Mus musculus: one gene and its partner. The protein of the gene in region 2 interacts with the protein of the main gene of each other region in a pairwise test. Links are inferred from orthologs where the notes say so. Each region holds a gene or a part of one and is shown on either strand. Other genes may lie near its edges.

What was found.
Region 1: the proteins of Insr (region 2) and Shc1 interact in a two-hybrid assay, tested with the Homo sapiens proteins (2 studies listed by BioGRID and IntAct). The link is inferred for Mus musculus from reciprocal best matches to the Homo sapiens genes INSR and SHC1.

The regions. Positions count from the first base shown.
Region 1 is NC_000069.6:89,427,266-89,430,541, forward strand, and holds the end of Shc1 (SHC-transforming protein 1), read left to right. Parts: coding exon 1-181; intron 182-1,051; coding exon 1,052-1,180; 3' UTR 1,181-2,764; downstream 2,765-3,276. UniProt on the Homo sapiens protein: Signaling adapter that couples activated growth factor receptors to signaling pathways. Participates in a signaling cascade initiated by activated KIT and KITLG/SCF.
Region 2 is NC_000074.6:3,157,478-3,161,298, reverse strand, and holds part of Insr (insulin receptor isoform A preproprotein), read left to right. Parts: intron 1-1,716; coding exon 1,717-1,846; intron 1,847-2,468; coding exon 2,469-2,603; intron 2,604-3,821. UniProt on the Homo sapiens protein: Receptor tyrosine kinase which mediates the pleiotropic actions of insulin.

The DNA of each region.
Region 1 (3,276 bases), on a different chromosome or scaffold from region 2:
GCAGCTGCAAGGGGAGCCCTGGTTCCACGGGAAGCTGAGCCGGAGGGAGGCCGAGGCGCTGCTGCAGCTCAATGGTGACTTCTTGGTGCGAGAGAGCACGACCACGCCTGGCCAGTATGTGCTCACTGGCCTGCAGAGTGGGCAGCCCAAGCACTTGCTGCTGGTGGACCCTGAAGGTGTGGTAAGTGTGACAGAGGTGTGGCAGGGGCTGGTGTGGTTTTGCTTTCTAGACTTCCTTTGCCGGAGGCTTCCTGTGGACTCCTTTGCCCTTGCTGGACACTTGCATCCACCTGCAGTGGCTCAGGGTTCCTTCCCTGCTGTCCTCGAGTCTGAGCTGTGTTCTTCTCAGTTCTGACCAGTCCTCACATCCCAGTGAAGCCTGCCAGCCCCCAGAGAGTGCTTACTTGATCTTTTGCTAAGTGAGGAAATGACACTGGAAAGGCAGTGGTGCCCAGTGTCAGTGGTTAGGGGGTGGAGACCCCAAATTTTCTCTTGCAAGAGGAGTCAGGAGCCTCCCTAGCTCCTTAGCTTCAAACTCAGGGTTTTGTTTTGTTTTGTTTTGTTTTCAACAAATCTAACCTGCCTTACTATTCCATACAACCTTGGTTTCTTTTCTTTTTCTTCTTTTTTTTTTTAGGGGAGGGGTGGTGGTGAGGTTCAAGACGGGGTTTCTCTGTGTAGCCCTGGAACTCACTCTGTAGACCAGGCTGACCTCGAACTGAAGCGCTCCGCCTGCCCTGCTTCCCCAGCGCTGGGATTAAAGGCTGTGCCGCCACCGCTCTGCTCAGTTTCTTTTCTCTTCTCAGCATTTTTTCCACCTTGGTTTTGCATTGTGTCACTTTTGAGAGACACCAGCTTCCTTCAAGTCAGAATTTTCACTGTCAGCTTCCGTGATTTCTGGTCTCCTTCCCCTTCGCCCAGTTCACTGCCCATTCCCACCCATGTGACTGTCTTTTCTGTAAAGATGCCTGGATAATCACGGCTGCTGGCCCGCCTTCCTCAGTCTTCCTGAGCTCTTCTCTTGACCCAACCTTCTCTCCCTGCCTCCCAGGTTCGGACAAAGGATCACCGCTTTGAGAGTGTCAGTCACCTGATCAGCTACCACATGGACAATCACTTGCCCATCATCTCTGCGGGCAGCGAACTGTGCCTACAGCAACCCGTGGATCGGAAAGTGTGATCCTTCTCAGCTTCTCCAACAGGATGCTCTCCATTTCCGTCTCCCGTATTCTCTAACTTGTGGGACCTCTGTTTTGTGGGTCTGGCCTTGGGTGGGAACTGGGAGCAACGAGGACATGGGTTTAGTGCCCACTTGAGAGAGAGAAAAAGAGGGTTTCAGTAAGGAGCCTGGGGTAGCATCCTGCCTCTGGCCAAACTTCACCAAAGTATTAATGTGCAGAGTGGTCCCTTGTCTGGGCCTTGCCTGTGCCAACCTGATGCCCTTCCCCCCCAAAGGGTGGGTTCTTATAATGGAAAATGCCCTGTGATGATAGGCCCAGTGGAGCAACTGCCCTTTGGGGGAAGGGAAATAATTATACCTCTGGTTTACTCCTGGGTCTTCAGGGTACCCCAGATCCCGCATAACATATCCCACTCCCTCTGCTTCCCCTTAAACTTTGTGCCTTTGACTATCATAGGTCTGCAGATACTTAATGCAGAGTTCTCAGGCCCTTCACGTGTGGACAGGGGTTACTGCCACCTTGGCTTCTGGAGCCCTGTCCTATTCAGCACCCCTTCCTGTGTCTAGGGAGAATAGGGACAGGAGTGGCCGCTATCTGCTCTGCCTTTCGGATGTGCAGCCCTTAAGAGATTGCCCCAAGCCTGAATATGGTGGCGCACGCCTTTAATCACAGCACTCAGGAGGCAGAGACAGGAGGAATTGTGAGGCCATCCGATCTACAACAGAGTGAGTTCCAGGACAGCCAGGGCTATGGAGAGAGAACCTGTCTCCAAAAACCAAAAAGAGCGATTACCCCAGAGCCTTCTTCCTGATGGTAGCGGGGAGGGGCAGGACTGGACCCATCTTGCTCAGTGCCTCCTGACCTCAATGCCTTTCCTCCAAGGGGTCTGTATACATTTCTCAAGCCTGCTCCTCCCATGTTTGCATGTGTGTTATAGTCTACAGCCAAAGTATAGCCCTCACTGTAACCCCATCCTGCCTCCCTCCTTTGGGATAGGTGTGTGCGTCTGACTTGGGCCTCCAGGGTGTGTACAGTCAGTGTGGGTTTTGTGGAGGCAATAAGACTGAAGCAGTAGACAATCCCCAATACCATTTGCAGGTCTGGAACTGCACTCTCTTTTTTAAAAAACATGTATACATTTTAGGGCTGTAGATTTATTTTCCTGGTTTTGTTTTTCATTGCTGACTTTTGAGCACAGAATTATGATAATCAATTACATTTATACATCACCTCGATGACTTTTCCAAACTTTTATTTTTTTTTTTAAACAACTGTTGGGATTTTACTCCCTGGCCTTAACTAGGACAGGATTGTACCCCACTCCTCCCCCCCCCCTTTTTCTTTTTCGCCAAGACAACTGAGCAGAAATTTGGCTGAGCAGTGTTGTGGGACTATGATGTGATAGTTTTAGATCCTACCTTCTGCTTTCGGGCAGCTGCAGCCAGCACAGAAACCTTGCAAGCTCACTCTGTGTGTAGGCTTTCTGGACAAGGAATGGTCGCCAAATTTTTGGTTTGGATGTCTTATACCAAAGGGAAATAGTCTTCATTAAAGTTCGTATTTCTTTTACCTCGGCCTCTCAACTCCTCTGGAAAGTCTGATTGATGGGGGCTGTCTGTGGGAGGTGGTGACGGACCCCATCTGGGCTAGGTCCAGTGGGCTCCAAGCCAGCGCCAGCCCGCAGGCACCAGTTTGCAGAGATTTGGGGAGCTGCGAGGCTGTGCGGTAGGGACGTATCTGCAAGGCGACTGGCTCGCGGCGGGAAGGGGCGTGTCCGGACCGCCCCCAGGCCCACCCGCAGCTCGCACGGCCCCTGTCGAGTGGTGCGTTCCACTCTGCTACCGGGCTAGCTGGGCGGCGACAGGCGCACTTCGGAGGAGTGGCGTGGCGAGGCCCAGCCTTCCTGGGTGCGGCGTCTGGGCCCTTCCCTGCTTTCCCTCCCCACCGCGTTCCGTGGTGGTGACCCATTGGAGTTCCGGTTCCGGTTGCTGTGGCTGCGGGCGGGCGGTGAGTCTGGAGCAGGCGCGCAGTTGGTGCAACGGCTCTGTGCTTTCCCCCTCGGCGTGGCTAGGGCTTGCTGCTGCTCGGGGGGGCT
Region 2 (3,821 bases):
GAGAGAGAGAGAGAGAGAGAGAGAGAGAATATTGTGTGTGTATGTATGTATGTATGTATGTATGTATGTGTATGTGTATGTGTATGTATGAATGTGTATTGTGTGAGCGTGTGCGTCATAGGGTGTGGGTGGCATGGCAGATTCTTGGGTCCTAAATTCATCTTATGCTGCCTGAAAAAGACTTTTACCCACTCTGGGCATTTTCCCAGCCCAGAAAGCTAACATTTCTGTTCTAGTTTCCGTTTAGTCAAAAATAAGTAAGTAAGTTATTAATTAAATAAATATAACAACTTGGGGAGGAAGGAATTTGTTTCATCTTATAGTCTATCACTGAGGGAAGTCAGGCAAAGAACTTGAAATGGAAACCATGAAATAATGCTGCTTGCTGATTTGTTCTGGCTCATGCTTAGTAGCTTTTATATATAGCCCAGGAGTCTCTTCCAAGGGAATGGTGATGCCCACAGTGAGCTTAGCCCTTCTATATCAATGATCAAGACAACCCTCATAGGCATGCCCATAGGTCAATCTGATATAGGTAATTCTTCAGTGGAGGATTTTCTGTCTGGAGACTCTAGCCTGTGCTCAGATGACAGTTAAAACTTACTATAAAACTTAGTATAGGTTCTGACAAGACTAAAGGCTTAAGTCAGAGAATGCAGAAGAAAGAGACAACAGAAGCAGATGGTAAGTGCCTAGAATGCTGGTGGATAGGATATGTGTGGATAGGATGGATATAGAGGAACCCAAGGACAGTGTGCTGTGAGGTTACATTGAAAGCCAAGAAGCAGGTATGTAAGGGCTTTGTAAGCTATAGGATTTATTTGCCTCTCCTCTACAAAATCAGTGAGAATCAGGAACAGGCAAGATCCCATAAAGATCTGAAAACATATCTCCCCCCGCCCCCCCCCACATTAGTTATGGAAGCACATAGGGAGATGAACCTATGTATGATTCTAGGAGATATATTATATATTATATTTCTACGTAACAATGGGAGTCATATAGGAATATGCTCAAAGACATCAATCTATATGAAGGGAGATGGGACATGATTCAATATTTATTATCCTAAAGACTTTCTACATGAGCAACAAGAAAATCCATACAAAACCCAGGTGTGGTGGTGCATGTATCTGGACACTTGGAGAAGTAGAGGCAGGAAGATCAAAAACTCATTGTCATCCTCAGCTATGTAGCAAGTCCAAAGTTACCCTAAAATCTGCGAGAGCTCGTCTCAAGAAAGAAAGAAACAAAAGCATTGAGAACTGGAAGGAACATGCTTCTATTCACATCACCGCCCTTGTGTAGTAGGATGTTGTCAGGTTGGAGGATGTACTGGGGGGATATGGAGGGGAGCCTAGACTACTGAAGGGCAATGAGAAGTGAGATGAATCAGAGAGAGATGTAGAGGCAGAAAGGCTTGCTTGCCCACTGTTTGGAAGTGTCAGCAAGAAGCAAGGTCAAAAGGAGACCCCAAGTTTAGTCGAGAGAGCAACATATTATTTGGATAAAGGAAAAGGATCTGTTTGGGACACTGGGGAAGGAGTGGGTGGAAGGATGACAGCCCCTATTCTCCATCCACACCCTCCATACACCTCAAGAATCCTTTCCCTCTGAGTTTGCCTGCTACCCTCAGCTCTAGTGGTGCTTCAAGGGGTAGAGCACTCAAGATGGTAGGAGGATGACCTGAAAAACCTGTGCACTGTTTGTTGTCAGACTTTGGAATGACAAGGGACATCTACGAGACAGATTACTATCGGAAAGGGGGCAAGGGACTGCTTCCTGTGAGGTGGATGTCACCTGAGTCCCTGAAGGATGGAGTCTTTACTGCTTCTTCTGATATGTGGTGAGTTATACATACATGGGTGGATATTAGTGCTGGGCTTGAACTCCTGAAGGTGTCCCACTAATGTGCTCATCAGGAGGTGATAGAGGAAAGCCCATCTTTCACATATAGAAATGAAGGTTTATCTGTCTGGGTTCTCTTAGATGGCTATCTTTATGTATTGATTGAGGATAGTCTTAGAACTTATTCATGAATTATAATATAAATCACTGTGGGTGCATGCATGTGCATGTGTGAGATGCAGGTGTGACCGTGCTATGGCACAGATGTGGAGGACAAAGGACGACTTGTGGAAATCAATTCTCTCCACCCACCTCCGTATGAAGCCTGAGGATCTAACTCAGGCCATCAGGCTGGGCACCAAGTGCTGCCCACTGAGATATCTTCCTGGCTTGCACATCCAGGTCTTTACTCAGGTTTTTGGGCATTGAACTCAGGTCCTCATGCTTTGGTGCAAAGGACTTTGCCAACTGAGATATCACCTTAGTCCATCACTTGTTCTATTCATTGGTCAACAAAGTTCTAGTAAGCCAAAAGGGGTATTGAACAAATGTATCTGAGATAGAGACTATTGTACGTTTTGTTGGCTTCTTTGTTTACTGCGTTCAATTGTCATTGGCAGGTCCTTTGGGGTGGTCCTTTGGGAAATCACTAGCCTGGCTGAGCAACCTTATCAAGGCCTGTCTAATGAACAGGTGTTGAAGTTTGTCATGGATGGAGGCTATCTGGATCCCCCTGATAACTGTCCAGAGAGACTGTAAGTATAGAAAATATCTGGAGTGTGTGAGGGTTTGCACATTACATATGTTTTGTGTCTGTATATTTTAGGTACATATGCATGGATTTGGTTTGCAGGCCTTATGCCCACATATGTTTATATAGCATGCCTTTACATCCAGGCTTGTATTCGCATATTGTATCTTGGATGCCCACTTTCATTTTCACATGTGCCTACATATATGTTTATGCTTACATATATTTATGCTGGTGCATGTGTCATGCAGTTGACATACATATATTTGCATATCAAATCCATTTTAAAGATTTATTTTTATCTTAGGTATATGAGTGTTTGCCTACACGTATGTTCATAACATATATATACTTGGTGCCCAAAGACATTAGGAGAGGGTGTTAGGTCCTCTGGACCTGGAATTACAGGTGGTTGTGAACCAATACATGGGTGCCAGGAACTAAACCTTAGTCCACTTCAAGAGAAGCAAATGCTCTTAACCACTGAGCCATCTCTTTAGCCCCTTAAATCTTTTTTTTTTTAAAAATGCACTTATGTGTACCTGTGTGTAGTATATAAATGTGTGGAGGGCATCATCCTGAGAAGTACTTACTACTCATCTCCATTGAGACATGGCCCTTCATTGGTGTGGTTCTCACTGATTCAGCTAAGCTGGCTGGCCAGCCATTGAGTCCCTTGGATCCTCCTGCCTGTATCGTCCCAGCCCTGGGATTGTAAATGTGTACATTTTTTAAAAATTACTTACTTATTTATATTTTATTTGCATTGGTGTTTTTCCTGCATGTATGTCTGTGTGAGGGTGTTGGATCCACTGGAACTGGACTTACAGACAGTTGTGAGCTGCTGTGCAGGTGCTAGGAATTGAACCTGAGTCCTCTGGAAGAGCAGCTAGCCACTGAGCCACCTTTCCAGCCCCAAATGTGTACATTTTTTTTTTAAATGTAGGCTCTGAGGATCTAACTCAGGTTCTCAGGCTTGAGGGATGAACACTTGTAGAGTTTTCATTTGTCATAGTCAGTTGTCATTGAGGGCTTGTCTAGACAACGCTGGCTGGTGGGCATGTCGATGGGGATTGTCTTGATTGTGTTAGTTGATGTCACCTCTACGAGGCACCGTTTCCTGTGCAGAGGGTCCTGAACTCTCTATATAAAGTGGAGGAAGCAGGCTGAGCAAGCTTGCCCGTGTCCATTCTCTATCTGCTCTTGACCGAGTGTGCTGTGA